4 linked regions of the Alligator mississippiensis genome follow. The protein of the gene in region 1 interacts with the protein of each later gene in a pairwise test. Links are inferred from orthologs where the notes say so. Each region holds a gene or a part of one and is shown in the gene's direction. Other genes may lie near its edges. The genes, in order: RBM10, CPSF7, RBM12B and THAP1.

Evidence for each region.
Region 2: the proteins of RBM10 (region 1) and CPSF7 interact in binary tests that used the Homo sapiens proteins (3 or more experiments, as listed by UniProt). The two-hybrid records come from large-scale screens. The link is inferred for Alligator mississippiensis from reciprocal best matches to the Homo sapiens genes RBM10 and CPSF7.
Region 3: the proteins of RBM10 (region 1) and RBM12B interact in a two-hybrid assay, tested with the Homo sapiens proteins (3 studies listed by BioGRID). The link is inferred for Alligator mississippiensis from reciprocal best matches to the Homo sapiens genes RBM10 and RBM12B.
Region 4: the proteins of RBM10 (region 1) and THAP1 interact in binary tests that used the Homo sapiens proteins (3 or more experiments, as listed by UniProt). The two-hybrid records come from large-scale screens. The link is inferred for Alligator mississippiensis from reciprocal best matches to the Homo sapiens genes RBM10 and THAP1.

Annotation. Positions count from the first base shown.
Region 1 is NC_081831.1:27,613,472-27,621,746, reverse strand, and holds the start of RBM10 (RNA-binding protein 10), read left to right. Parts: upstream 1-5,089; 5' UTR 5,090-5,196; intron 5,197-5,435; 5' UTR 5,436-5,535; coding exon 5,536-5,552; intron 5,553-5,817; coding exon 5,818-6,007; intron 6,008-7,927; coding exon 7,928-8,116; intron 8,117-8,275. Other genes in the region: NDUFB11 (NADH dehydrogenase [ubiquinone] 1 beta subcomplex subunit 11, mitochondrial), read right to left, coding at 1,071-1,200, 1,399-1,529, 3,080-3,292. UniProt on the Homo sapiens protein: Binds to ssRNA containing the consensus sequence 5'-AGGUAA-3'. May be involved in post-transcriptional processing, most probably in mRNA splicing. Binds to RNA homopolymers, with a preference for poly(G) and poly(U) and little for poly(A).
Region 2 is NC_081825.1:177,663,592-177,671,660, reverse strand, and holds the start of CPSF7 (cleavage and polyadenylation specificity factor subunit 7), read left to right. Parts: upstream 1-4,986; 5' UTR 4,987-5,094; intron 5,095-5,397; 5' UTR 5,398-5,446; coding exon 5,447-5,500; intron 5,501-8,069. Other genes in the region: SDHAF2 (succinate dehydrogenase assembly factor 2, mitochondrial), read right to left, coding at 1,515-1,645, 2,070-2,179, 4,558-4,754, 4,831-4,851.
Region 3 is NC_081826.1:43,993,705-44,000,913, forward strand, and holds the start of RBM12B (RNA-binding protein 12B), read left to right. Parts: upstream 1-4,004; 5' UTR 4,005-4,109; intron 4,110-4,146; exon of another isoform or gene 4,147-6,300; 5' UTR 6,301-6,346; intron 6,347-7,044; 5' UTR 7,045-7,071; coding exon 7,072-7,209. Other genes in the region: TMEM67 (meckelin), read right to left, coding at 3,542-3,731.
Region 4 is NC_081826.1:155,713,883-155,721,033, reverse strand, and holds the start of THAP1 (THAP domain-containing protein 1), read left to right. Parts: upstream 1-3,898; 5' UTR 3,899-4,971; coding exon of another isoform or gene 4,972-5,032; coding exon 5,033-5,103; intron 5,104-5,775; coding exon 5,776-5,971; intron 5,972-7,151. Other genes in the region: transcription factor JunD-like, read right to left, coding at 1-590. UniProt on the Homo sapiens protein: DNA-binding transcription regulator that regulates endothelial cell proliferation and G1/S cell-cycle progression.

The DNA of each region.
Region 1 (8,275 bases):
CGTTGTGGGGCATCACAGCCAGCCATGTGCCAGGGTCATACAGTGGGGCACAGAGTGGCCAGGAAGCACAGCAGTTGCTGCCCCAGGCAGTCTCTGGGAAAGCTGTAAGTGACAGTAACTCTGATCTCATCCAGGCTCTCAGCCACCCCCCACAGCTGATGGCCAGACTCCCACCTCCCATTTCTGGGCCCCCTCTAGCACTCCAGGTTACCAGCACCCCCTGCTCCCACCCTCCCAGTCACACCTCACTCTGAACCCTAGCATCTGGGCTCCCAGCTCCAACCCCCACCCCCACTCCTCTGTCAGAGGGACTAGGGGCTTTTTGGATCCCAGGGGAAACAGAAGCACTGCCTGGGGGAACTAGGGTGTTCAAGGACATGAGCTCAGGGGAAGGGGGTGCAGGACAGGAAGCAGAGAACAGAGCAGCGGATGGGCAGTGGGCATAGGTCAGGGAGTAGGAAGTAGAACAGCAATTGGGGCATGGAACAGAGACCAGAGCAGTGGGTGGGGTAGGGGGCACAGGCAGGGTGCCAAACACAGAGTAGCACTGGGGCAGGAACTTTCTGTCTCCTGAAGTTCCCTTCTTTCTGGACATTGCATTTCCTGGAACACTTGCTCTATGGCATACAAGGTGAGGTCCCAACCCCTAGCAAGGGTGGGGAGGAGGGGAAGAGGAAGCAGAAACAGCTAAGCAGTAGCCATATTGCCTTCTGGGGTGCAGGGAGGACGACATGTCATATGAGACAATACGGTACATAAAGGACTGCTGTAGAGCCCAAAGCAGCTAGATTCTGTAGGATGGAGGGTGACTAACTCTTTCTCCATGCTAACCCCCTCCAAGGGAACCCAGGTCCCTAGGGTCATAGCCTCCCTGACTCTGACCCCCACACACCACGCTCCCCTCCCAGAGAACCCAGGCATCCAGGCTCCCACCTCCCTCCCCCCACCTCCCACAGAAGCAAGGCATCTGGGCCCCCAACCCCCTTCCTGATGTTTGGCACCCCCACAAACACAGCCAGCTAGGAGTCAGGCAGATCACACAGGTTTATTGGGAAACGGGGGGGGGGCTATCAGTCCTCATCCTGAGGGGGGAACACCAGTGTCTTAGGGTCGTAGTAATTGGGGTCCAGCACAGGCAGCCCCTGTGCCTCTCGCTGCCGCACCAGCCGCTCTGCCTCACGCCGGGCCCACTCCTGCATCCTGTGGGAGGGAGGGGAAGGGGAGAAAGTCAAAAAGGATCCAGGCTCCCAGCTCCCCCTGCCTTCACCCCCCTCAACCCTCTGGCAGAGAACCCAAGCATCTGGGCTCCCACCTCTCCCTGTTCTCACTCTCTAGCTCCCACTTCTCTCCCAGATAACCCAGATGTCCTGAGTTCCCTCCCCCCCCAACCCTGCTAACCCGTTATCCGGCATGTAGTGCATCAGGGTGAAGCCTATGACGATGCAGACGGAGACGCTAAAGAAGAAGACAATGCGCATGTTCCACAAGTCCACAACTGGGTCATCATGAAAGCCATGGTAATCTGGGTTCTGGGGCACAAGGGGAGAGGTGGCATCAGTGGCTGGGGGGCACCACATTCCTCCCCCCGCTCCCTGCTCAGTGCCCAGTCTGCATCTAGCTTTGGGGCAGGGTGGCTGAGTATAACAGGGCATGGAGTCTACTTGTTTAATGCCCAGATGCGCTGAGCTCTGGGATGGGGTGGCTAAGAGATGGCAGAGTATAATAAACCCTGGAGACTGCTTATTCGGTGTCCAAGTACATCCAGCTTTGGGCTTGGGGAAGGGAGATGCCTGCATAGAACAAAGCGTGGAGACAGCTTGTTCGGTGTCCAGATTCACTGAACTCTGGGGTGGAGTGGCTGGGAGATGGCTGAATATAACAGGGTATGGAGTCAGCTTGTTCAGTGTCCAGATGCACCCAGCTCTGGAGTGAGTCCGACTGAGGCAGAGAGACAGGTTATTCAATAAGCACGTGCACCCAATTCTGAGGTTGGGGGAAAGGGGGCAACTGCATTGAACAAAGCATGGAGACACCTTGTTCAGTGCCTGGATGAGTCCAGTTCTGGGCTGGGACAGAAGGGGACAGCTTGATATAACAGGGTATGGAAAGAGGTTGTTCAGTGCCCAGATGCATCCAGCTCTGCAGTGGTGTGGCTGGAAGATGGCTGAATTTAATAGGGTATGGAGATGTCTTGGCCCCACCCCAGAGCTGGGCACACCTGGGTATTGAACAAGTGGGCAGCAGAACATAACAAAGCAAAACAGTGCCTGGATGCACTCAGCTCTGGGGTGGAGTGGGGGGGGCTGGGAGGCAGCTGAGTATAATAAAAACCAGATGCAGTAGCTTGCCACCAAGCACTTGGGAACTGGAGCCAAGGTGATAGAGACAGAGACCCACTGCCAGGCCCTAGGGCCCAGACACCTGGATTCTCTGAGCTTTGGGAGAACAGTGTAGGTGCAAGCAGGGGAAGCTGGGACCCTGGGCACCTGTTTTCTCAGTGAGGGGAGTGTATGAGAGTAGGGGGAGCCCAGATGCCTGGGTTCCATTTCCCAGTCTGAGAGGGCAGCAGGGAGTAGGAGTTCCCACCCTGGGAGGTAGGTCCTGGGAGAAGAGTTGTGCCTGCTTCTTTAAGAGGTGAGGCTAAGTCTGGCTGACCTTGGCAATGCCCTCTGCCAACCCTGGACAGGGGCAGAGAGGAAGGGAAGAGAACCCAGGCACCTGGCATCCCACTGTTCTTAGGCCCCAGCCCTTCACAGGGCTGGAGAACCCAGGGGTTCAGGTTCCCAGACCCCCACACACATCTTATGGGGATGTGCCAGACCAGGGAGCCCCTGGGTGAGGGAGGAATTGAACCCAGTTCTCCTAGGTCCAGCTGCCCCTGCCCCCGCCCCCATTGCCCCTCCTTATTCTTTGACCCCACCCTTTCCCTCCCTGTACTGTTCTGTGAGCCTGCCCCGCCCCCATTGCCCCCAAACACTTTTCTGCCCTCCACTGCCCCTTGGCCTCTCCCCAATTGCTTTGTCTCGCCTCTATACCATTGGTCCTCCCCCAAGCCTTGGCCCCGCCTCTTCGCCGTCACCTTGCGCAGCATTGCTGTCATGTGATCCTCCCTGTCCTCGAGAGCCTGCACGGGGGTGGGGGGCGGCGGTGGCGGAGCCCCCGGGGTCACGACGGCGTCGCCTCTCACGCTGCCCGCGGCCACGGCTCGGCGGGGTCCCGCGGGCACCCGTAATGCCAGAAGTGCCTGGCCACCCAGACGTAACGTGTGCCCGCCGCGCCTCAGCGCCGCCATAACAACCCCGGGCTCCTAGCCGGAGCCGGAAGAGGCGGAGCACTTCCAGAGAGTTTGCTTACGTGCAGGTGGGCTATAGTGGGACTAAATAAAGAACTGGCGGTGGGGGTGGAGTTAAATACTGCCGACTTTAAAATGGGGTCCTTAAAGGGGCATCCAAATGCTGCCTTTGTTACTCAGTCCTATGGAACTGTATCATGTAGGTACTTTTTTATTTATGCCCCTCCCTGGACTGTTCCGTTTTTTCCATCTACCCACTAGGACTGTACCATATCCCCTCCAGGGTCTTAGTAACATCCCCCAAGACCGTACTATCTTTCTTCCCTGTATAACCTCTTCCGGCCTGCACCACGTATTTTTTTGTTTCCCCGAGACTGCACAATCTTCATCCTCATCGGCTCTCCCCCCACCTGGATTTTCATCTTCCCTCTTTCCTGCCCCCTGGACTGTACTGTGCATTTGGTACCCCTGGACTGTGCCATATTTTCTCTTCCCGTCCCCTGGACCGGGTCTACTCGGTACACCTGGACTGTACCACGTTTGTTCCTTCTATCCTTTTAAATAGTACTCCCTCCGACTGTACCTCGTACTTCCCACCCCAGCCCTCTACAACCTTCCCCACCTTCCATACTCGCGTCCCAGCTCGTTTCCTGGACCCTCCCAAGTACCCCAGGACCGAGCCGTAGCCTTGCACAGACCCCAAGCCAGGGGACTCCCAGGTTAATTCCCAGCCCCTGCTGGGCCTGCATCCTGGGGTTTCTCTCCCTCCCCTGGGCCTGGGGACGTGCAGAGAGTGTCCCCTCCGGGAGCTGGAAGCTGAACTAGGGCAGACGCACGACACCAACTCAGCAGGCTCTTCCCTCCCAGCCCACCTTTCTGCCTAGAATCCATTCCGTGTCTCCCAGCTACTTCTCCCTGCCCGACCCTCGGATCCCACTGTGACACACTGACACACATGGATGATACCGGGGGCTGGACGACCAGGAGTGCGGTGTCTGCAAGACCCGACGGGACATAATAGTTCGGTATCTTAGTGCAATGACGTCACTCGGTAACTAAACCAGACCGCTGATTGATGGTGTCACTGACGAAGCACATCGCTGCTACCGGGGAGCATCATCGTCCTTCTCCACCAACGGGTGGTCTGGTTCTGATGACGTTGTAAAAGAACGCTGATGACTACCTCCCGCAGGCTGCGGCGTTAGATCATAAAGTCACTGCAGCACCTCACGTGCTAGCGAGCTCTGCGTTGTCCCTGCCAATCAATTGCGATCTGTAGAGGCCATGGGAAAGCTCTACCAATCACCTGCGAGCGGCTGCTGACTTCTCCAATCATGTAGCAGTGAAGGCGGGACTAGTATACGGAGCGACCTATCTGCTGCAGTCCCAACGTAGACCAGCTTTCCGTCCGGGGGAGGAGCCCTCAGCATGCAGGGGACCCGAGGTGGTGCTGTGGCCGCTTCCACCCAATCACAAACAGAGGGAGGCGGGATCCATTTCCATCCCCGCCCAGCCCAGGAGCTCCACCAATGACAACAGAACGTAGGCGGAATTTCACGAGGAGCCCCATCACCCTCTACTCGCCGGGAGGAGGCGACCACTTCAATCCCCTCAACCAATCACAGGAAGCAGGAGGCGAGGCCTGGCGCGGACGAACCAATCCGCGCGGAAGGGTGGGCCTTCCCCTGAGCGGCGGCGCGACGGGCCAGTGGTCTACCGGCGCGGCGAGACCTGCGGACCAATGGAAGCACGGGGCCGGGGGGCGTGGTCGCTCTTCCCGCTGCCTTCAGGACTCGGCCGCTGGCGCCGCCATCTTGCGCGTCGGGCAGGCGGGCGGCGGGCGGCGGGTGCACGGGGAGTGCGTCCAGCCCGGCAGGCGCCGCCCGCAGCGCCGCGCGGGACAGGTCAGTGCCGGGACGGCGCGCAGAAGGGGAAGGGCGGGGCTTCACGGGAGGGGGCGGGGCTTGGGGCAGCAGTGGGGCACTGGCAGCGAGGGGGCGGGGCCTGAGGGAGGGGGCCCTCCCGGAGAGTCGAGGCATCCGCGCTCCCTCCCCACAACCCCAGAGAACACAGGCGTCGCCCCCGCTGCCCTCAGAGCTGGGGGAGACCCTGCCCTGAGCCCTTTCTCCTTGTCTGTTCCCAGGTCCCGTGGCAGCAGTTTTGGGGGCATCTAGGTGCGTGGCAACGCCCCACTCTCCCCGGGGCCCGGCGAGCTCAGAGGCACTGCACCTGTTTTGGAGGACATGGAGTACGAGAGAAGGTAATCAGCCCCATAGAGCCTTGCAAACTGTTCCCCACACCCTTAGCCCAGGGACTTGCCCTGGGGGTCTGGCTTGGCAGGGTCAAGGTCTGCAGGGGATGGGAGGCTTCCCAGGAGTACCCTGGAGGGATCACAGTGGGTACTGGCCTCTGCGTGGGGGTAGAGCCAGTGCTGGGTTAGAGGGAGGGGGGAAGCCACCAGACTGGAGTGTGGGAATGGTTCTGAAAGCCCCCTGATCCTTCCCACCGCTGTCCCATTTCCCCAGAGGTGGGCGTGGTGACCGGACAGGGCGCTACGGCACAGCAGAGCGACCCCTGGACGAAGGTGGCAGCGAGGGGCGCAGCCAGCGGGATCACGATTATCGGGACATGGACTACCGCTCCTATCCCCGGGATTTTGGGGGACCCGAGCCCCCCACAGACTATGACGACTCTTCGGGGGAGCACAGTGCAGAGGTGGGTGTTCGGGTGCCCTCCAGCATGCCAAGTGGAGGCCCTAGTCCCCTTGTGTATTCCCTCCCATATCTGGGGTCAGACCCTGTCCCCTTCTTCACCTTATCTCTGGGGATAGAGCAGGGACAGGCAAAATATGGCCTGCAGGCTGGATCTGGTCCTTCAGGCAATTTTATTGGGCCCATGGGGCCCCTCTAAAACTTAGAAAATTATTACCTGCTAGTGGTTGCCTGTCTAAAAACTGAGGAGGCACTAGTGGCAGGAGGAGCTGGCAGCAGCAGCAAGGCCCACCTGGCCCTGCTCCACTCCCAGCCCCACTTCACCCCCAGCCCTCAACCCAAAGCTTCTGGCTAGTAGTGGCTTCTGGCCTGTGACCCTGTCCTCAGCCTCCTTCTGTCTGAGAGTGGAAACTCAGGTAAGAACAGGTTTGGATTGGAGAGGACCGCCTGTGATTGCCGCGCAGGACTCTGGCTCCGTGCCTCCATGTGCGGGTCCTGGCTAGAGCGTCAGGAACACCACATGGAGGCATGGAGTGGGCCCAGCCTCATGACACAGGACTTCTTGTGGCTCCTGGCACACTAACATGGCACCGGGTTGGGCTGGCACAGTGCTGCGCTCTGCTGTCTTGGCCATGCAGCTGAGAGCTGCATGATGCCAGACCCAGCCCAACTTGGCCTGTCCTGGCTCAACTGAGCCTGGCAGCACATGGTTCCCAGCTGCATAGCCAGGACTGTAAGATGCAGCAGGAGTCATCCAGGGGCCGAGCTGGGCTGGCTCCATGGCATACTGTGTGGTCCTGGCCTTGCAGCCAGGAATCATGGGGGCTGGGATGGCTCTGGCAGCATGCACATCAGGCGCCAGTCTGGCTGGCGCCTACTGTTCCCAGCTGCAAGGCCGGGACTGCACAGTGTGGGCCCAGCAGTTCCCAGCTGGCTCCTGCTGTGTCCTGTGGTCCCAGTCATGTATCTGGGAACTGCACATTGTAGCTAGAATAAGCTGGGCTGGCTCCATACTGTGCTGTGTGGGACCCAGCCTTGCAGCCAGGAGCCATGCAGCAGAACACAGAGCCAGTTCAGCCTGTCCTGTGCCCTCCGGGCAGTATGCAGTTATGACTGCAAGGCTGGGACCCGAATGGTGTAGCATGGAACCAACCTGGCCTGGCTTGTCTCAGCTGTGGCATGCTGTTCCTGGCTGCAAGGCCAGGACCCATGCAGTGAGGTGTGGAGGGGCCGGGCTGTCTCCCTGCTGTACCATGAGATCCCTGGCCTTGCAGACAGAACTGTGTTGGACTGGGCTGGCCACATTCTGTGCCATGTGGGTCACAGCCTTGTAGCCAGAATGGGATGGGTGGGGCTAGCTCTCCACCTCCCACCCACAACCTCCAACAGCCCCCACGCAGTTTCCCCCCCCCTTCATACCCACACCCATATTATCCTACACACCCACTCCCAAACCACACAACCCCCTACATGTACCCCTTTACATGCCACACACAGTAAGAGCGTATTTTGAGCTGTTATGCTATCGTCTCTAGATATGCTGTGCAAACGCACACAAATCAAGGCAAAAATATACTTTCAGGGGATGGGGCTATACATGTGGCCCTCGATAGCTCAGCAAAACTCGTTAAGTGGCCCTCTAGCCGAAATAATTGCCTGCCCTGGTAGAGGCTTCTCCACTGCTTCTTGCTGCCCCTGGCCCTACCTCCACCATAGGCTCCTCCTGCCTACCCTGCCCTTGGGGACAGAGCCCTCTTCCCCCTTGTCCAGTTCAGGGCAGAAGCTCTTCTTTGTGGGTGAGATCCCACTCTCTGCCTGGGATGTAAGCCTGCCTCCAGCCTGCCTTGTTCTGAGGGGGGATTAGAAGCCCTGCCCTCACTGAATCTCTGACTCCTCCCCCCACCCCCCTAATCTCTCCTTCTAGGACTCCTATGAGGCATCATCAGGTTCAGAGCCACCGCGGAAGCGGGACAGCCCAAGTGAGGTGCTGGGCTTTCCTGGAGACGGTGACTACCGGGATCAGGACTACCGGCCTGAGCCTGAGGAGGATGAGCAGAAAGCCAGCAGCATTATTATGCTGCGCATGCTGCCCCAGGCTGCCACAGAGAATGATGTATGTTGCCCCTTTAAATCCAGACCCTGCCTCTTCTGTCAGCCCCCCCTCTTCTGGGGTAGAGGTCCCATCTCCTGCCCTAGTGCTGGAGGCCAACAGCATCCTCATGCTTTACCATGGAGAATGACGCACTGTCTCTTTAAATGCAGGCTTCACCCC
Region 2 (8,069 bases), on another chromosome or scaffold:
GCTATCCTTAGAACATATGTCAAGGCCCACCTCCTGGTGAATTATCCCGTGGCATATGCTGGAAAACCAGAGCCATGAATCTTGCTGTCACAGGCAAGTTCCCGTCTCCATTAATCACAGCCTGCTAATATTCTCTCTGGTGTCTCAATTAGACCTGGCACACAGCTACTGTTAAATAGCAATGCCCCATCCCGGAGGTGACTGTATTTAGTTATGGGTGAATTAAAGCAGTACTGTTAATTGAACAGTACACTTCAGGATCTTCTTTTCCCTGAGCTGTTCTTGATGAAGGCAGCAAGTCTGGTGCATGGTGCATTAGACAGCTGGAGCACTTGCTCCATAGGAACAATGGAATCAAAGGATTCACACTGGAGCAGAGAAGGGAATTGTGTTCACTTAGACCAGAAGCATCAAACACATGGTCTGCAGGCAAGTTGTTTCATCTAGCTCATCAGGCTACCAGAAATTGGTGGGGTATGGCCTGCCATAGAATCTGGGGCCCCTGTACCCTGGTGGATATGGCCATGGGTCATGCATGCTCGTGCCAATGCAGCCTCACATGGCCCACTGCTGGTTGCCCTATAACCACTGTCTGGGCCATCCCCATTGCCAGTCCCTGCTTCTATCTGCACACTGTCCTGGGCAATTGAGCTTGGGGCATGGGGTGAATTTAATACCTCTGTCTTAGACCCACCCAAGAGGGTATTTCCAGTAGGCAAAGACAACATGCCAAACTGGAGTCTACCCAGCATAAAACAGTCAACCACCTCACACAGCAATGTGCCATGGCTTTGATAATGAGTATTCAGAGGTACCATTTGACATTTCATCCGACAAAGTATTCCCCCTTGCACCCTGGTACCATGCTGGTGCAGTGCTAGCAGACAGAATGCCCCCTTCCAAGTCAAACTTCTCCTCTTCTGGTACTTCACAGACTCTTTATTATTGCATTGCAATTGAAAGCCTTTCCTAATATGACTCAGCATTTTACCTCTACCCACAGCCCTCTGCATGATGCCCTTTGGACTATTTGTTGGCAGACTGGTAGGAAACACAGTTGTTGGGGGTAGCTTCTCTCTTTCCTACTTTCAAACCTCCCAGTCAGAGGATGCCAAAATACAGCATACTCCCTATAGTGGAAGGATGCACAAGGAATGGTGAAAATGCTGCAGCCATGACTGAGGTTCCCAGACACACCAGGAGGCATTCTGCAATGGGTCAGAACATGGTCATACCAATGCTCGTGCGACTGTTGCCTCAAGGGGTGGTATACACCATTCAGATGCATGCAACCATTGCTGGGTTGGACTGCAGCACTACACCATGATGGAACCAACCCATTCATAAATTCCAGTGTCAAGAAAAGTGTTTGACTCTTTATTCAGTGGGGCGCAACCACTGAGTGGAGGATTTCATGTTGAGGGAGATCAGCAGTGCAGATTTCCAAAGAAGTCCAGAGCCTCAGCTTCTACTCCCATGGCTGAAAAGATGGTCCTGGAGACAACAGGGCGCCTTCACTTGGGTGGCTCGAAGAGGTACTCCAGGTCTGGCTGTCGCAGCCTCTGCTCTCTGTTCTTGTTCTTGGTGAATTCTTTCAGCATCGCCATCACTTCATTCTGAAACACCTCTGGGGTAGGCTTTGCTTCTGCAAGGAGAATGTCCTTAGGCTCACATCTTTGCCCCTGCATAGTGCCGAGCCCTGATCCACCCCAGAGATGACACAGCCCCGATTTTACTGCCTTTCTAAAACCTAGTTCACTAAATGCTGTGGGACCCACTAGGACCAAGCAGATATCTGCTCCTCCTAACCCCAGCTCAGCTCTTGGTTACAGGAGGGTGCAGGCCCCCACAGCCCACATGAAAGGGACCAGCTGGCAATTAGTATAAGCCTGGAAGTGTGAGGGTTGGGAGCCCCTGCCATTCTTTCAGTGTGACAGTCGCTGTCATGGCTATTCCAGTCCATGAGCTCAGTGGAGCTCATGCATGCCTGTTACCACAGAGGGCTTCCTGCTCTATGTCACCATGGGAGATGGAGCCTCCATCTAGATGGTGCTAGGCTGCAGCTGTACCTGTCGCCCAGTAGTAGATATCCCAGTCATTGCTGGGCTCGTTGATTAGACGGTCATAGAGGTTCAGCTGTTGCTCAGTCATGCGGTGCAGATTCTCCTTTGCAAAGAGGCTATGACCAAGAGAGAGAGAGGAGCTGAGAATTATTAGGAACAGAAAAAGTTCCAGACCAGATCAGACCTGGTGACCCTCTAGCATACTGGCTCTGCAAACAGCAGCCACCACATGATGCAAAAATAGACAAAAGAAACCCTGGAGTAGGGAGGTATGAGAGTACCCACCCCACAACTCATTAGGTCTCTCTACTAGTTGTGGATTAGCTAAAATTCTAAAGCATGAGATTTACTGTCTCTGTCCAGATTCTTCAGTCATCCACCCAGGTAACTGTGGACCTGCTTGGTACACACATTAACACCTGATACCTCCTGGCATCTAGCTATGTTCTTAGCATTTACAACTTCCTATTACAGTGAGTTCCACCAGCTCATTATACACTGGGTGGAAACACCTACAGCTCCTTGAATTGGGTGTGAGTTTGCTTTCAGCTTCATTTCATGCACTTTTGCTATAGGGGGCAGAGAGCAGTAAGGTACCCTGTTGTACTTCTCTTGGCCACTTATTTCATTGACTCTCTCTGGATTTTACAGCTCATTTCAAAGCTTGGGTGACAGTTGAGTCATTCTTGTTTTCCCTCTAAGTCGTGTTACCTCACTCTTACTGGCACTGAACTTCCCCTGCTGTCAAGCTGCCCACTTGTCTCGCTCGGCCAAGTACTACTGAAGTTCCACGCAGCCCTCCCTAGTTTGACTACCTTCCACAAGGACTCTCTGGGGTGGCAACTTTTACTGGACCAACTGCATAGTTAGCAGAAACCACAGACAACCTTTCAGGCAAAAGGTGTCTACTGTGGGGCCGGGAAAGGCCCTGTTACCCTTTTCTTGGATGCCTGTTATTTCACTAACTCCTGTGTCCCCTTTTTTGGCCTGCTTCCTAGGAATGGGAATCTTTGCTTGTCTTCCAGAGCGGTGGTTATCAACCTTTTCAGGCTGAAGGACCCCCTTGATAGGTTCACAGACGCACTCACTGACATGCATACAGATACAGAGACGCGCATATAAACATAGGTGAGTGCACATACACACACAAAGACTCGGGGGGGGGGAAGGAGGGGGCTTGATGCCAGCTCTTAGCTTTCACTCAGTTTTTTGCTTACAGGAAAATAGTAGAGTGATTCTTCTGTTGCAAAGAACTCAGAAGAATCAAAATAGGTCAGAGTGTTTTTAACACCATGGATTCCTATTTGAAATCTCTGGGCTTATTGGGTGAATCATGTTTGCACACCTAACAGTGCTAACACTAACACAGCACCCTGCTTTGAGAATCACTGTTCAAGAGTTTCTTCCTCCCCCAACCCTTCTCACTGCTCTGCTCTAGAGGAAGGCCACTTTGTGCCTGAAGGCTTGCCTAGGACATATAGAGGGGCTGATAAAATGCATCACCCTGAAAACCTTTCACATACTTCCTCACTCATCGGAGCTACATCATCAACCCTCCAACCTGGCATAAATTCAGTAACTCACTACTGCTGGGTGGTTTCAGTCCCTCCAGCTCCAGAATAAATCCATTAGAGTCTGAGACCTGGGGCCCTTGGGTTCCTGGCACACTGGGGGAAGGGGGGTGCCCAGGGGAGACCAAACCCTGGAGCTGGCGGCATGTGGCGGCCACAGCAGGGCCTGTACAGCACTGTCCATGGGGGCCATGGCAGTTGCCCCAATTGGCCCCCCCCAGGGACGGCCCTGTCTGTATCTGCACATCTGCGTGTGTGTCTGCGTCTCTGTGTGCATCTGTCTGTGGGCATGTGTTTTTATGCCTGTATGTATATGTGCACATCTCTGTGTGCATCTGTGCACGCCTCTGTGTCTGCACACCTGTGTGTATCCATCTGTCTGTCTGCGTGTCTCTGTATCTGTGCATGAATATGTGTACATGCACATCAGCACATTTGCATCTGTTCATGCGCTTCTGCATCTGCACACATGCCTGTGTCGGTCTCTGAGTGTGTGTAGGCACATCTCTGTCTGCGTGTCCTCTGTGGGCTTCTGTGCCTGCACATCCATGTGCATATCTGTCTGTGAGTGTCTGCCTGTTGGTGCATGTGCACATTTCTGTCTGCTTCTGCATCTACGTACATACCTCCATGCATGCCCATGTCCCTGAGTGTGCGGTCGTGTCTCTACCCATGCCTGCTTGTGCATGGCTGTGCCTGTGTGCACACACACATCTCTCTCTGCGTGCCTGTGAGCCTGCCTGCGCATGCTTGTGTCCGCATGCAGGAGTGCATCTGTCTGTGCGCCAGTACGCGTGCACGTACATCCCTGCACATCTCCGGGGGCGCCTGTGCATACTTCTGTCTGCGCCTGTGCCTGCGGGGGGGGAGGGGCGGGGGAGGGAGAGGTGCACCCGGCTGTGTGCGCGCCCGTCGCCGCGCACCTGAGCAGCAGGCAGTTCTCCAGCATGCCGCGCTTGCGGCTCTCGTACAGCAGCCGGGCGCGCTTCGTGTCCAGCGGCTCGTGGGGCCGCGCCCGCCAGGGCGGCAGCGGCATCTCCAGCACGTCCCGCCCGGAGCCGCTTCGGGCCGGGGCCGCCGGCGACATCGGGGCGGCCCTGCGGAGGCACAGGCGGCGCAACTGCCCGGGGGGGGGTGGTTATGGGTATGAGCCCGAGCCCGGCCCAGCCTGGGGACCCCCCAGGACCCCACCTCACCTGCCTCAGCGCCGCCGCCATCACGCCACTCCTGCCCTCCCGCACTCTAAGGCCCGGCCGCTCTAACCAACCCACTCCGCCCAGACTCTATGGTGCCACCGCTCCGCCCCGCCCTGCCCTGCGCGCGGGCCGGCGGGCGGGCCGGAAGGGGCGGGACGTGGCGGCGGAAGGGGCGGGACGTGGCGGCGCTGGCTGTGGCGGTGAGAGCGGTTCGCGCGCTTCAGGCCTGCTCGGGACGCGGCCTCCCCTCCGCTTCCCCCCTCGGTAACGGGGCCGGGCGCGGCCGCCTGCTCCCTTCCCGCGAGCCCGAAACTGGGGGTCTAGGTCACACGAGGCGCCCCGAGGCCGTGACCGGCGCGCGGGGCGGGGGGGACTGTGCGCATGCGCGGCGGGGAGGGGAGGGGAAGGGAGGAGGGAGCCGCGAACCCCCCGGGGAGGCTGCGCGGGCGGGGTGGGGGAGGGGCCGCGAGAGGGGTGGGGGTACTAGGGGAGGTTGGTTTTGGAGGGGGATGTGGCCAGGGCAGCCCCAGAGACTGAGGGGCTGTTTCTTCCATTCCCCCCGAGCAGTTACCTCTCTGCCTCCTGTTCCCCCACCCCGGCTCCGGCGCCCGGAAATATGTCGGAGGGGGTGGATCTGATTGACATCTACGCTGACGAAGAGTTCAACCAGGTAAGCAGAACAGGACCCTGAGTGGAGCCCTGTTGGGAGTCTGGCAGCCAGGGGACGGGGGAGGAAGCCGTGCCAAGCCCCACAGCAAGCAGGAAGGCAAGGGGGGCTCTTCCGTCAGCACAGGACCAAAGTTACACGCCAGCATTTTCTCAGGTGTGAAGGTGGAGGTCTAGGAACAGTGTTAGTTTGCTGCAAGTCTTGACTGAGGACCTCCAGGAAGCCTCTTAGTGCAGGTTTTGCTCCTGGTGTTATGGCAGGGAGGGGGGCAACGTTGAGAGGTGGTAGGAGGAAGAGGTTCATGATGCCCCTGTCCAAAGCATTTGCAGAGCCGGGGATGATTTGAGAATCAGATCATCCTGCTTTGCAGAACAGGAGGGAAACGACCTTTGGGTAAAGAGACAGGAAGCAAAAAGTAGGAGAAACGTGTATTGAGTAACCATAACATGCCTGTGTGGGTTGTAGGCATGTAAATACAGGACCTTCCTGGGCTGCCTTGGAGCAATCGGGATCCCTGAAACTTCACAGGTTGTTACCCACTTAGATACCTTTCAGTTAACTGGCTACGAGCAGAGAGGTGCCATACTATGGGAAAGTCTCCTTGTAAGCAGGTAGCTGAGAGTCTATCCTGGATTTATTAGTGGGTGTGTGAATAATGGGGGGAAATTTGAACAAGTGATGGAGAGCGGCAAAAAATGCAGGGAGGGAAGGAGGATAGCTGAACACAGCAGTGCAAGCATGTTGGAGAGTTTTTGGAGAGTTGAGAAGTCTGGACACATGGATGCAAACGTGGCTCTTTGAAGATAAAGATGCTATGTAAATACGAAATCAGGCTGGAAGAAGGAAGGTTGGAGGATCGGTTGTTGCAACAGATTGGGCTTGCTTTCAAAAAGCAAAACATGAGGAACATGAAGTTGCCAGTTTTGCCCTGAGGGTAATACATTTTCTGTTCCAGAAAGGTGATGGGTTATCAAATGAGAATGTGCTTTAGGTTTTTTTTTGGAAATTAACAGCAGCAAAAAGCATGGTGACAAGGGGAATGTGAGAAGCTTTTCAACTGTCTGGGAAGAAACAGAAGTGCTCTCTGGATGAATTAAATGAGAACAAAATTAAGGCTGGTTATAAAAATTGCTAAAATACTGAACTTAAGCCATGTACCAGTAGTCTGGTTGCATCCCCACACAGAAATTGGTCTCAATGTAAAAAAAAATTCTTCCCTGGATATATTTATAGGGCATTGCCTGCAGCACTGGAAACATCCCAGGATGTAGCAGATCCCCTGCAAGGCTCACTCGTTTTTATGCTTTAATGTGACAGGATGGCATTCTGTGTTGTGCCCACTGAACCATATCAGCTCAGAAATACTCTTAATTTGCATGTGTCCTTGCAGTTGGCTTTTAACAAACAAAATCAAGACAATGCGCATGACAGTTAGGAAAGTATTAAACCTGTTGCAGGTATTATCAAAACATGGTATCCTACAGATTTGGTTGGCAAACTTAGTGAGTCGTTGGGAATTTTTTTTGAAAGGCCACTGGAGAAATACCAACAAGCTGAAGGAAAATAAGCATGGTACTGATCAGGGAAGGAGAAGAACTTCACGTTGGCAGTTAAGTTTGGAAAGTCTGGCAGTTCCTAATTTTTAAAAAAGAGAATCTGTTTCTCTCTCAGAAGATAGCAGAGATATGGACATTTGGCTTGCTGGGTTATAAAGGAAAAGTCATACCCCTCATGTTTAATAACAGCTATCATGGTCTTAAAACCTTATGCTGTAATATTAACCCAGGTTAGCTTGACTGAGAATTTTCACATGGCTTCAAAAGTGGCTGGAAAGGTATTAACCAGGAAAGGTAATAAAATGCAAGGTATTGAGTTGCAAGGGATGTGTCTCCTGGGATGCTGAAGGAATTGATGTTGGGTCTGATCTTGCTCAGCTCTTCCATAATTTTCCGCAACTAGACAGTGGCACTAATCGCAGATCCTACCTCAAAAGGAAGGACAGAAATGCTGAAGCCCTGTGGGATTAAGTATAAGCAAAAGGTGAGAACTGGTGCTGAAAACACATCCCTAATAGATTGGTGGGCGTTCTCCAACAGGCAATGTACAGAGTTGAGGAGTAGAGATGATCATTAAGTTACAAGAAGCAAGATTTGTTTGATAAATATATTTTACTGGGAGAGAGATTAGACAAGCTTTTGGGCACAAAATGACAAAAATAAATAGAAATGATAAGTGAATAAAACAGGTTATCAAAAGGGGTTTCACACATCATGGCTGCAATAACATGGCTACAATAACATTACGTTAAGTTCCATTTTCTGTAACTTTTTGCATGACCAGGCTATAACACTTCATTTTCAGTGGGAGTAAGAAATTTGGAAAGCAGTTATGGTTTTGTGGGGTGAGAGTAGCTAATGACAGCGTAAGCAGGGGTCTGTTACCCATCAGCTGGATCCCTGTCCCTTGGCAGAACACCATTTTTGCTTTATGATTCCTGAAACATCTTAGAATGGCATCTAAATGCTCTACAGAAATTGTTCAAATGCAAAATAATTTCCATGTCACAAAGTGG
Region 3 (7,209 bases), on another chromosome or scaffold:
TTGCTCAGCGGGCCAGCAGTGGCGGTAGTCCCCCCGTCCCCCAGCGGGCTTAGTTTAAAGCCCGGTGGAGCAGGTCAGCCAGTCTGGCTGAGAAGAGCCTCCTCCCTAGAGGAGAGAGGTGGAGACCATCTCTTCCCAGCAGCTCGCTGCCTCTCTCGCCAAAGAGCGGGCTGTGGTCATGAAAGCCAAAGCCTTCCTGACGACACCAGTGCCGCAGTCTTTGGTTGACCACATAGATCGTCCTGTCCCTTCTCAGCCCATAGCCTGAGACTGGGAGGATCGACGAGAACACCACCTGTGACCCCAGACCCTTAAGCCCCGCTCCCAAATCCCTGTAGCGCCTCATGACCTGGCTGGGAGTGCTCCGAGCCGTGTCACTGGTGCCCACATGAATAAGGAGCATGGGATAGTGGTCTGTGGGTTTGAGGAGCTTGGGGATCCTCTCCGCAATGTCCCGGATGCAGGCCCCTGGGAAGCAGCAGACTTGCCGGGCTAAGGGGTTGGGGTGGCAGATTGGCCCCTCCGTCCCCCTCAGGAGGGAGTCTCCCACAACAAACACCTTACGTTTTGTCTTGATCTAACTTCAAATCATTGAAGTTAGATCAGGAGTGCTCAACCTGCAGCCCAAGCAGCCATTGCATCTGGCCTGTGGGGCTCCTCACCAAATGGAAAATTTGTCAGAGGGGAAGCAGTAGCCATTAATATGCCAAATCCCCAAGCCTGGTCGAAGCCAGGCCACCACCATCCCTGCAGCCTGGACCATGCCTCCTTCCCCCTTCCCACACTCCCCTTCCCCCCCGCAGGGCCAGACTGGGGCTGATCATGCCTCCCCAATCATACTCCTTTCCCTCACAGGGCTGAGCCATGGCCCCCACTTTTCCCAGGTGGGGCTGGGTCACGCCCCCTCCCCCTGCAGGACCAAACCATGCCCTCCCATGAAGCCTCTTTCCCCTTTCTGCAGAACCAAGCTTGAGCTCGGCTGCAATCTGTCCCCTCCTCCTGGACCAGTGGTGTCTGCCCCTGGGAGCTGGATAGGAACTACTATCCAGGAGCAGCAGACCAGGCATTGCCCATGAGCTCCCACAGGGAAAAATGTTGAACACCACTGCCCTAGACTGTTACATAAAAATAATACAACAAAGTTTCCAGGGTCATAGAACCATAGCTTCTCAGTGCTGGAAGGGACTTGAGGTCATCTAGCAAAATACAGGCCACAGGCCAGATCCAGCCCAAAGGATTCTATCCAGCCTGTGGCAGGTTCCTTGGCCCTGCTAGCCCAGGAGCCAGCCCAGGCACACATGGCAGGGCAGTGGCAGAACAGAAGCCAGACTTGATTTCCTGGCAGCCTCCATGGCAGGCTGCTGCTGCCTGCATCTCTGCTGCTGTCACCACTGGTGGACCCAGCCCCACTACCTGGGCACCCTGGTGCATCCACTGCCAGGGATGGTGGATGGAGCAGCTGGGCGGGGTCTCCATGGAGATCAGCCTGGGACCCCCCACAAGCAGGCTATGCTCAGCTGGGTGGATGGGATGGGGCTGCAGGCAGGCAGGAAGCAGAGTCTAGGAGCAGGATCAGCAGGCAGGGCTAGGGCTGGGATCACAGGGCAGTGACAGTGTGGGGTCAGGGGCAGAACTGTGATCTGCTCCCTGCATGTCCCTGTTCCTCATCGCAGGGATGTGCAGGGACTGGGTCATGGCTCTGCCTTGTGCCCTGCCCACCCTTCCCTCTCCACGACACTACTCCCCACCCACCTGTGGTGCCCTCCCATTTGTCCAACGCAGTGCAATGAATGGTCTCCATGGAGACCTTGCCTGCCTGCTCACATTATCTGGCACCCCCAGCACAGGGTGCAGGGTGGACGCCAGGCTGGACAGGATCAACTGCCTCCCCTCCCCTCCAGCACCTCACCAAAACTCCCTAAAGAGCCCTCCAGCCCGAATCATTGTCCCCCTGCCCCCAGATTAATCCATCCCTACTCAGTGCCTGCCTATTCTGCTCTCCCAACTGCACATAGATGGAGGCTATGCTGTCGCTGTGGGCCACCTGCTCATTGTTGCCAAGAGTATAATTATCATATTTGTACGATAATTTCAACCCTTGTACGATCTATAACAGCAGAAGTCTTCAAAATGTATGATAATTTTTGAGGCAGCTAATTGATGCAGCAAATTCTAAACCCAAGTCACTCTCAGGGAGTTTCAACTGACTTTAGGGTTTGCTGCCAGCACTTCCTTATGACCAAGGATCCTGGTTTTCCCTGATTTAAGAAATAAATAAATAAACAAAAAAATTGCAATTTCTCTGATAAAACACCCTGGAAAATCTGCGATTGAAATGAAAGGCCACTTGTCCCCCCAATCCTGCTGGTGCCCCTCATTCCTTCCACGGTCCCCCGGCCCTGCTTGTGCCAATCACTGCCACCCCCACAGCCCCACCCAGCCCTGGCAATGCATCCCCAGCGCATGCGGCAGCAGCGAGGGGCACAACGCCATGGTGCTGCCCCTGCTGCTGCCTTGCGCAGAGGGCATGTCACTAGGGCAGCGCGGATCTCGCAGCAACAAAGAGATCCCTGCATGGCCCTGCCGTTCCCTGAACCACTGGTTCGCACCTGTCGGGCTGCAGATGCTCCAGGGAAGGGCAGCAAGGTGGGAGCCTGACCCTGCAGTGTGCAGCCTGCACCCACCCTGCATATATATCGGGGGGGGGGGGGGGGAAGGGGGGCACAGGTCCTCCCTGTTTCCTGGGAGTGTGCGTAGCGGCAGGAGCTGGCCTTACTCTGCTCACCCGCCAGACAAGCTGTGGCCTCATGCTACTCCCCACCAAGGCCCTGTGGCCACACACTGCAGCCCAGGGCCACACGCCCCATGCACTGCCCGGCTGGGACAGCAGCACCAGCCCTGCCCTCCCTATGGGAGGCCTCTATTCCCCCAACCCTGCACCTACACCTAGGAGCTGCTCTCCAGGCTGCCCAGCAACTATGTGCGCACACACGCACACGCTGCCCCCTGCCTGACCGCCCTCCTCCCACCCGCCCCAGCCCACCTGCAGAGCGCTCTTCGCAAAACTGCAAAATCTTCAGGTTTCTCTGATAAACATGAGAGATCCATGTTTTCCACCGGTAAAGGGGAAAATCCGTTGTTTTCTCCGTTTTCCCACAGGATCCCTGCTTACAACTGCTTGCCTCAAAATAAAGAAATGCTTCAGCGTTGATGACCCAGTTCTTGCTCGCTGCCTGGCTAAGACTTATTTACATACTTATGTGCATATTTTCAGCATACAATCGTTTTTCAGCCAATACAATAATTTTGAGCTTCCAATAGGATCATTTCATATTTAAGACCCGGCAACGCCGTGCCGCTACGGCGCCCTCCCGGGCAGGACCTGTTCTCCCCTCTCCAGCAGCTCGAAGCCGCGGCGCCCCAGAGAAGTCTCATCTCCAGGGCTCCCCCGACGCGCTCAGGGGCCGGGGCCGGCAGCCGCACGGCAGCTCCCCTGAGCAGAGGGCGCGGGCGGGGCGACGCCTTGCACCTCACCGCTCACCCGAGGCGCTGCCCCGCTGGTGCGGCCCGCACGCCCCGCACGCCAGGCTGGCGGTGTCGAAGTAGCGCGGCTCGCCGCAGTCGCGGGGCCGCCGCAGGGGCAGGGAGAAGCTGTGCCCGGCCGAGGGCCCCGCGCCCAGCAGCAGCGGCAGCAGCAGCGCGACGGCGGCCCAACGCCCAGCCGTCGCCATGGCGACCGGGATCCCGCTGGCGGGGGTGGGGGAGGTCCGTAGCCAGACGTCGCTGCGGAGCGCATGCGCGCCGTCTGTAGCAATCACGGCTCCCTATAGGCCGCCTGCGCGCGTCCGGGATGCAACCCGCCTATGCGTAGTGAAACCTGAACCTAGCACGCACGCGCAGTTAGCACCGGAAGTGACGCAACGCAAGCCGTACGCGCCTCCTCCTAGCGGGAAGCGGTTGGAGGCTCGCGCGTCTGTTGGCGGGAAGGTCAAAGGGGAGGGGGTCGCGCCTGCGCGATGCGGCGAGGTGTGGGGCGGCGCCATCTTGTTGCTGCCTGACTTGGGCGCTGAGTGAGGGGACGGTTCCTCGCGCCTGTGTAGTGGGCACCGGTGTGTACGGCGGCGGGAGGCGGCTGCTCGCGCTGGGCCGCGTCGCCTGCTGGCTCGGAGGGGGGCGGGGCGGGGTTCCTCGGCGACCGGCCGCCCCACGCTTGCAGAGGGCCAGAGGCGGGGGAGGGCGGGAGCGGCCTGTTCTCCCCGCCGGCCCCAGCGCCGGCTCTCGGCCCGGGCGGGAACGCGGGATGCGCCGCCAGCCGGCCCGAGCGGGCCGAGGAGCGGAGGACGGGGGCGGCGGGAGCCCAATGGCTGCGCACGGGAGCCGGGAGCCTCGGGCAGCAGGAGCGCGCGGCTGTCGCGCTGCGGGAAAGGGACCTCCTGCTTCGGCGTCGGCCACTTCTCACACCAGCCCCGGGCGCTGGTGCTTCGCTGCGTCCCCCGCTGGCTCCTGTGTGGGGCTCCGTCCTGGCGGCCTGCTGCGGAAAGGAGAAGGATGGGCGGCCCGGCTGTGGCACTGTGGGCCGGGCCCCGTTCCCGTGCGAGGAGATCGCTGCCTGCGTTGTGAAGTGGCATCAGAAATGGAGCTTGAGCTACGCAGGGTTTTAGGCTTGGAGCCGGTGGCTACCTAGGGTTTCACAAAACCCTTCCTGCTCGGTCTCTCTCAACCTCCTCCTTTGAAGGCTTTGCTCAAGTGTTGATCTGTTCATAGGTATTTAAAGAAAAAAGCTTTCTAAGCTACCTGTAGCTTTGTTGGGTCGTTCCTTTAAAGCACTTGTTGCCTTGCATGCACTTGCAGCTGCTGGTTGCATGGATGGACGGCTAGTGGAAGTTCATTGGCTGCACTTGGCTCTTTTTTTATCTGTGGGACAACTTCAGTTTCACTACTGTTGTGATCTTTGTCTGGTTTAAAGAATAGTAGCTGTATGTTAGGCCTGGGATGTATCGCAGGGATCTTGATAGTTATCGTCACAGAAACGTCGCTGATTCTGGGGTGAAGACAGAATATTGGGTAATAATTGGTATGGGAATGCAGAAGGGAAGTAGAAAACTGCTGACATACTACAGACCACCAAATGAAATGCAGGCATACGGATTTGACTTCGAGTCGAAGGTTTGTTGGGAAAATTGGCTTTCCTGTTGAATTCTTCCCTTGCATGTTGGCGTTGCCATTTTATCGATTGAGAAGATAGCTGTACAGATGTGGGAAGCTCTTTATCTAGAAGTGTGATTTTCAGACATGCAGTTGTTTTAGCTTGTAGCTGTTTTTCCAAAACAAGGATGTAACAAATTTAGAAATTGGCACTGGATTTGCCAGTTACAGAAACGTTTTTGGTTTTATTTTTTGTGCTAATTCAGGTGAAGCAATGGGCTGTTCTGGTTATGAGGTGGCTGTGCAGATCTGTCTCTTCCCTGGTCTGTTGCAAGTCTTGCTGCATAATGTTGTATGCTTAAACAGTTGTCAGCCAGAGTTTATTATTGCTAATGATATGATGGTAATTCCATGCATAGGTTTACCTTGTTTCTGTAGGGGAATATGCTATGTAGTCTATGGCTTTCATGCTATAGGAATTGTTTAAAGACCAGGATAAGTCTAAGATTCTCAAGGTAGTGTTTTTGGTTCTGTGATTGAAGGACAGTAGGTATTTGGGGGGAAATACAAATGAGTTTAATTTGTAACTTCCTGTACTCTCCGGAATTTCTGCTTGTTGAATTTTTTTGCTCTGTCTTATGGTTTTCTTCATTATGTGTCTTCAAGAATACCATGGTGGTGAGTAGCATATTCTGTCACGCACTTCAAAAGCAGGTGGATTTCAGAAGAATTGGACATTTAATGTAATCTTCAGTGGGACTTATGCATCTTTCAAGGACTAAACGAAGAGGTTTTTCCTTTTACCTTATTGGCCATTGTTTCCTGTGAACAGTTCAGTGTGGCACAATTGATGACCCATTAATCTTGGCATGTTTTCATCATTTGCAGAAGCAACTTTACCTTTGAATATTTTACTTCTAAATGGATTCACAGGCAAAAGTGCAAGGCATAACATTTTGCTGAATTACATTGTCTGACTTGTATTTCTCTTGGAACAAGGAAGGAATCCTCTCCATAACAACCCAAATCGTGGTTTCATTACAGTGCTTGGCTGTTAATATTAGCTATTGATATGGATGTACAATAGCAATGTGGCACAGTATTTTAACCAGATGTGATATCAGCCATTAATTATGTCTCATTTTCTTTCCACAGTTAAGTTGATTTTACAGAATTTATCAGGTCTTCCAAGCAGAACCAGGTAAGCTGCCTAAAGGCTAACATTTCTCGCTCAGTATTGTCAAAAGACCACGCAAAGCCATTTCTCACAGACTTTATGACTGGGAAATAGGAAATGCTTTCCTGAATGCATTTGGCTGCTGCAAGAAGAGAGACAACGTTGTTGCATTGTTTGTTATATATACGCATTTGTAAGCAGAACTGGTTAGTTGGTAGACAACTTGTCTGAGAGCATAACATTCGTTACAGTCACTGAAATGCTTTTTTGGTGATGTAGGGGTTTTTTTTTTCTTCTTTTTTCCCCTCATCTTTTATTTTCAGTTTTTTCAGTGCTGTGATAGCAAGTGCCTCTAACACAAAGAGAAGACTTTGGTTCTTAGCATCTCTGACAAGTAGCAGCCATGCCAAGAAAGACTTGAGATGGTCCTTATTTATCGTGGATGGTGAGGAGTTGACTCATGTGGATCTTGTTGCCTTTAGATAGGGAATATTGACAGATTGTGCATACTTCCAGGTGGAATAGCTAATGGTTTTGACTAAATCTACTTCAAGATTAAAACAGGATTCAATGATTGTGGTGAACTTGTGAGCTTCTTGCTTGATTTCATAAAGCTTGATTGAATCAGGGATTTTCATTAAAAAGGTGTTAGTTTAAGAGCTTAGATACTGCGATAGATGAGTACTAAAGACTTGCTATCATGTGTACCTTTTTGTCTGCAGGTGATTTTGCTGTGAGTTGAGCGCAGCATGGCTGTAGTCATCCGTTTACAGGGGCTTCCTGTTGTTGCGGGCCCTGCAGATATTCGCCGTTTCTTCTTGGGATTGAATATTCCTGATGGAGGAGTGCATATTATTGGAGGAGAAACTGGGGAGGCTTTTATTATT
Region 4 (7,151 bases), on another chromosome or scaffold:
GCGGCGCAGCAGGGCCCGGGCGGCGACAGCGGCGCGCCCAGCAGTTGGTTCTGCTTGTGCAGGTCGGCCAGCGCCTTCACGAACCCGTCCACGAAGCCCTCCTGCTCCTGCGTCACCTGCTGCCGGTACAGGAAGGGCCCCGCGGCGGCGGCGGTGGGGCCGGGGCTGGCGGGGCCGGCGCCTTGGATCAGCAGCTGCTCCAGGTCGGCGGCGGGCGGCAGCTTGAGCAGGGGCAGCTCGGCCGGGGCGCCCGGCGCCACCAGCGCCGCCTCCGGGCCGCCCCGGGGCCCCGCGCCCGGCGGGGGGGCGGCGGCGGGGAGCAGGCGCAGGGCAGCGGCGGAGCGGGCTCCGACCCCGGCCCCGGCCGGCCGCAGCGCGAAGGGCCCCGGCAGCGGCGCGGGGGAGGCGGCAGCCAGGTCCCGCTTCTTCCCAGCGCCCAGCAGCAGCTTGTGCGCGGCCGCCGCCTCCGCGCCCGGGCCGCCGGCGCCGAAGCCGTGCAGCGGCACGAAGTCGGGCAGCAGCTCCAGCCCCTCCTCGGGGTAGAAGGGCGCCTCCATCTTCACGCCCGCCCTCCCGCCGCCGCCGCTCATCGTGGCCGCTGAAGGGACCCCGACCCCCCGCGGGGGCCGGGGCCGGGGCTGTGCGCTCGGCCGCGGGGCGGGTCGCCTCGGCCCGGCGCGCGGGGCCAGCGGAGCCGGAGCCGCCTGCGCGGGGCTGGCGGGCGGCAGCGAGAGCCCCGGCAGGGGCGGGGCGGCGCCGGGCCCGGCCCTCGCACGCGGCTCCGCGTCTGCCGCGTCGGCGGCACCCACCCCGCCGCCTCGGCGAGCCCAGGAGAGAGCTGGCTTGGCGCCCGCGGCACACGAGGAAGGCGAGCGGAGGGGCGACGGGGCCTGGAAGGAGGAAGCGAGCGCGCTGCCCCCGCCCGAGGGCGCCCGGGGCTCAGCTTGCTCGGGCCAGGCCCGGAAACCTTTGGCAAGCCTTCACCTGTGGGGAGTGGGTTAAGAAACTTCTCAGTGATGGGTTTTTTTCCTGTGAGAAAATGCAGGTTTGTGAGTTTTGTTTTGGGGGGAGGGGGTTCTTTTACAAATGTTTCTGACTGCAGCTGGTTGGACTGCCCCATCTGGGCGTTTTCAAACTTCAACAGTTTTGTTTTTCAGCTCCCAACATTTGGAGACTCTGGCCTTTTGTCCTCACTGGGGACACACGAAGCGGAGCCCCCAGGTAACTGCTGGGTGGGACAGCTGGATTCTGTCGAGTTCTGCTGACAGAGTCTTGTTCAGGGATTTCAAAGCCATTGGCAACACGTAGGGGGTGCACACAGGTGCACATACACCCCGAGGGTGGTGGTGCACCCCGACAAAAGGTGCCACAGATAGTGTTGGCTGCCACTCGCCACCCTTCCTTGCCACCGACGCTGCCGGTGGCGTCTGCGGGCAATCCACAATTGCCACTGGCCGCTGCCACCAGTGTCTGCAGGTAGTTGCCGACCACTGGTTGGCACTTGCCACCCTCCTCCCCACCACCTCTGGGAGCTCACCATGCCTCCAGGGGCAGGCAGTGTTCATGCTTAAAGCCATCATGTTAAAGGTGACAGCTCATCTTGACGTGTTCCCTTTAGCTCACTGAGTGAGTGACCATCAGGGCGTGCTATAACTAATCCACAAATAATAGAGCAGTGCTCCCTGTGAGTTCTCCACCTGTTCTCCTGTCACAAGACCCCCCCCCCCCCCCCAGGACATCTGTTCATCCTTTCTCCCAACACAGGGGTGTTCAACTGGCTCTGGCCCTTGGAGCCAGGGCTTCCCAGGGGTTTGGAAATTTGGTAGTAGTGGCAGCATTAACTGTTGCTCCCCTGCTGCCAAATTCCTGGGACATGTGGGGAGCCTGCAGGCTGGATAGTGTGGTTCTGTGTGCTAGATCAGGTGCACAGGGCTAGGCTGGCACTGGGCACTGGAGCCTGACCTTGGCATCAACACTGCAAGGCATCTCGCCCACAGACCAGCTTCAGGCCACTCATCTGACCCACAGGGCCAAAAAGTCATCCATCACTACCCTTGGACACTTTCACTCATTGTCTCAGGACCAGGCTCCCTTTCTGCCCAGGCACCCGCCTGCTCAGCCTGTCTGCACCCACATTGCTCATGCTCACCTGCATGCTGCTCAGTGGTATTGGGCTATGGTGCTGTGCCTCCTGGCTCTGCTCCAAAATCAACTGGAAGGGAAGAGGCTGACAAGCAAGGAGCCCTCTGCCTGACTTGCCAAATGGTTTTCCTCTTCACCCAACATTACATAAAGGAGCATTCCTTTAGGGGCTGCAAGAGTCAAAGAGTCTGAGGAAAAATTTTCTAGTCAGCAGCAGTAGTTTGGGTCAGCATGTTATACCCCAGCCTCCTGCTACCTGCAGTAGTCTGCCTTAATGCTGGGCAGCAGCTGGGTATCACCCTTTGTAGCTCATCTTAGGGAGTACTCTAGGGAAGGGTAGCTAAATGAGACTCAGAATAGAAAGAGGATGAGAGACCTTGAGAAACAGGAAGTATGACAGGTATTAACAGAGAAATGAGAGCTTGAGGGGGCTGGAGTAAGGAGGGTCATTGTGAGTTTCTGAGAAAATGTAGGGGAAAAGGGATATTAGGAAAGGCACTGCGAGGTGGGGACACCTTGGAGTGGTACCTGGAAAGCAGATATCTAGGGAAGCAGAAAGACCAGCAAGAATTGGCTGGGGGACTTTCAAGAAATACAGGATTAGAGAATTGGAGGCTTGATAGAGAAAAGTGCAAAGGAAAACAGAAGAAAACAGGTCTGGCAGAGACCAGGGAGATTGTGGGGCTTTAGGGAAACTGGTGCTTACGGCAGGGAAGATGCAGGTTTTGTGGGGAAAAGAAACAGTGGGTTATGGAAGAATTTTGAGGATACACATCAAATTACGTTACCAAGGACGTTAGTTTCTCCTGAAAGATCAATCGTATTGATATTCTGGAGAAAGAGGGTGAGCCTATAGACACAATGAGAACTGGTATCCCAAAAGGTAGTCCAGGTCCAAACAAGCAGGCTACCACGTTCCATCTACATAAAGTGGGAGGCACTAAGTCACATCACCAGTCTCTTAAAGCCCAGCAGGTGTGGCAGGGCTGTCCCAGAAAACTACTAGTTACCTCCTCAACAGGGAAGAGTTGTATCACAGACAGAGCTGATTTGAGACAGACCCTTACAAGTAAATCCTGGGCTAGGAAGTAGCTGAATTTTCCTTCCGCAGAGGGCATTAGAGATGGACCTCTGCCATTCATCCTAACAAGCTACTGCTGGTCATTGCTACATTAAAAATGCTTCCCACCACAATCTGAAGATCTAAGCTGTTGGAGTGGGAATCCCACCAATGAAAGAGCAGAGACCTCCCCCCAATAAAAACAACAGAGATGCTTATTTTAAACCATGTTGTCTATCTTATTTAGATTTGTTACTGGGGTCTGCTGAAATTTGTTCTTGAGTTGCTGTTGGGTGAATGGAATAGACACATAGGTTCTTCACATTCCCAATTTCAATAGTACAGTATACTAATATTGTCACAAGTTGTTATTTTTTAAAGTAGTGCCCAGATTTTGTAGAGTACAGGCAGTCCTCAGACTTAGGACACAATTGGTTCCTGAAAAAAGCGTCTTAAGTCGAAACATGGTAACTCGGAACTAATTTTCCCATAGGAAACAATGTTATAAATGGGGGATCAGTTCCTGAACCAAGGCCTGATACCCTATTTTCACCCAAAATAACCCAGAATTTTGTACTCAATCAATTATAGATGAATAATGTAGCTACATTAATGTGTTTATATTGTAAACAGCAATCATATTGATTTGGAAGAACTTATTTGAGGTGACTTTGCTTGGACTTTTTGAAGGGCGCTTGGCTGGAGTCTTCTCAGGAGTCCTGGCTGCAGGTTTTTCTGGTGTCTTGTCTGCTTTGTTAAAGAAAATGTCCAGGGAAGTTTGGACAGATGTTCTCCAGGGAGATGGGCGATGCAGCAAACTTTTTTGCTCGCGTGGGGTTGAATCAAGTGTTGTAAAGTTGAAACTGATGTCAGAAAGTGGAAAGTGTCAATTTATAAACGTAAGTGCCATTCGTTGCAACTCCAAACATCTCAAAGTCGAGGACTACCTGTATTCAGTCAAGCCAGAATGACAATCCCTGGAAACTGTGGAAGTCAAGGCTTGAAAAACTGACCCTTCACTTGAAGCCCGAAGGGAACATCTCCCCCAAAACCCAGGGCAATACTTCGGTGAGAATATCCAGTTTTACTCCCTGCAGCCGGGTCTCCTCGCAGGAGCCCGCCCCTGCAACACGCCCGGGGCTTTCGAGGCTCGCACCCACCTCGCTCTAGGACAGCAATACTCAAAGCCTACTCCCAATTCACACGCGGAAGCATCTCCACTGTGTGCCCTGCAGCTCATCGCAGAACATGTCATTGCAGTGCAGCCCCGTGCCCTCCTTTACCAGCTGACCGTAGGAAGGAGCTAGTGTCCCCCTTCCCGCGTAAGCTGCAGCACTCAGATCGGCGAGCTAGGAGCAGCTGGGCAGCAGCTACCACCAGGGCAGGAATGCGACGCTCGACAATAAGGCACCCGCTCGCGCTCCACGTGCACGGCTGCCCCCCCCGCGGGGCGGGGCGGGGCGGGGCGGGGCAGAGGCCGAGAGGCGCGAGCCGGACGCGTGGGGGCAGGGTCCCGCTATAGGCAGGGGGCGGGGCCATTACAGCCAGCGTCCTCTCTGAGCCTCTGCTGCTACTGGCTGGGAGATCGGAAAGGTCCCGCCCACGCGCGAGGAAAGAACCAATGGAGAAATGCGACTGGGAGCTCTCGCGAGAGTTTCCTTGAAGCTGGCGCCGCCATCTTGGAGTTGGGAGAGGCCGCGTCCTGTTTATGTCGCTCCTAGGGGGTCGCTGAGGGGGGATGGGCGCCGGGCACTGAGCTAGCGGGGCCTATGCGTCCGCCGCGCCCCCGGGCCGAAGCATCGCCGGCACGGGCGGCCCCGGGGCGACAGGATGGTGCAGTCCTGCTCTGCCTACCGCTGCCGGAACCGATACGACAAAGAGAAGCCCATTTCCTTCCACAAGTGAGCGCGAGCGGTGCGGGGGGCGGGGCCAGTGCGCAGCTCCGCGCGCGCCCGGTGGCCGGGGGGAGGGGGCGCGCGGCGGCGGTTGGGGGCGGGGCCTGTCACCTCCAGGAGCCTCGGGTGCGCGCGCAGCCCCACGTGGAGGCGGGACGGACCTCGCGTGAGGGGTGTTGGGCGGCCCCTGGCAGCCGCACTAAGCATGCCTCTCGGCCACAAGGTGGGGGGGAGTGTGACCCCACCCATGCACTATGGTCAGGCGAGTCAACTTCTGCCTACACATGCATGCGTATATGCATGTCTATATACATGTCTGTATGTATGTACATATGTGCACGTGCCTATGGATGTGTGTATGTATATCTGATGCCGTTAGTCTATAGAGGTGCATCTCTAGCCTACCCTCTGGTGCTCTTTGGCAGGTGGTGGTAGCCTGCGTGTCATGAATACCTATGCACGCCTGCATTTAGGTCTCTGAAATCCATGTGCCTCAAACGAGGCCCAGCATGTGGCCCAATTGATGTCCCCTGTTGGTGCCTGGAGCCAGCTGCTGGGACAAGCGGCTGGCCGGCGAGTCAAGTAGTGGCGGCGCACATAGTAGTGTCCAACATGTGCTGCCATGCTCGCATGTAACGAGAGTCCCAACAGGAAGCTGACAGTGCCTCTTGGTTGCAGGTTTCCTCTCACAAGGCCTGATCTCTGTAAGAAATGGGAAACCGCTGTGAAAAGGAAAAATTTCAAGCCAACAAAGTACAGCAGCATTTGCTCAGAACACTTCACTCCTGATTGCTTTAAAAGGGAGTGTAACAATAAGCTCCTGAAAGAGAACGCCGTGCCCACAATATTCTGTTACACTGAACCCAGTGAAAAGGTAACCATGAAAACTCCTCTTTAAGGAGTGACTGACACAAATTTACATATGTAGATATATAATGCATGCTTTTTTTTTTTTTTTTTTTTTTTTTTTTTAACCTCAAGAAGGAGAACTGTGGGAAGGAGACTGTTCCCTGTGCATGATCATAGTTTTGGTCAACTTATAAGCAGGGATCCTGGTTTTCCATTATAACCCCCCCCCAATTCTCTGATAAATTGTAAATTCTCTGATAAAAATCCCAAAATCTGTGGTTAAAATTAAATGCCCTCCACATCCCCCCCACAGCCCTGCTGGTGTCTCTCACTCCTGTCCCCCAGTCCTGCTTGTGCCCCTGTCCCACAGCCCTGCTGGAAGAGCCCACAGCTGCTAGGGCTATGGGGCCAGGGACCCAGGTCCACAGCCCCCAGCGGAAGGCAGCAGTTGCTACAGTAGGAGCATGAGCCAGCTCCCCCCACTGCTGCCTGCCTGCCTTGGGCAGGGCTAGCTCCCCATGGCAGCGTGCAGTCCTGGGAGCCAGGGGGGACCCATGCCCCCCAGATCTGTGGGGGGTGGGGACAGGGCGGGTCTGCGCTGCCCCCATGTACACAGAGGAAGTGTGGCCAGGGCAGAATGGAGCTTGCAGCAGCAGGCAGCTTTCTTGTGTGGCCCTACTGTGCCCTGCCGTGCCAGTTGCACACGCTGCGCTCCGGAGGGCCTGGGGGAGGGAAGCAGGGTAGGGAGCACAGCATTTCTGACACTCAGTCTGCAGCTGGCCGGCACTCCAGCTGGGGTAGGGAGGGGCGTGTTCAGTCTCCCTGCTCCCGGTCGGAGTGCCTGGCCAGCTGCAAACCTCACCTCCTGGCTAGGGAGTACCTAGCTGGGGGCTGAGGGAGTGTGGAGGTTTGCAGTCGACTGGGCACTCCAGTTTGCAGCTGGCCAAGCACTCTGGCCAGGAGTGGGGAGGCTGCAAACTTCACCCCAGCCGGAGTGCCCAGCTGGCTGCAAACCTCCCTGTTCCCTCAGCCCCTACCCAGCTTTCCCCCCCAGCCTTGTCGTGCAACCCCCAAGCTCCACTTACCTCCAGCAAGAATAGTGAGCCTGAAGCAGCCTCTGGTAAGACTTGATGTCAGGACCTGCCCTTGCCCCTCTCCCTTCCCCTCCGGGCAGGGTTGAGGGTTTCCCACCCCTTTTGCAGACA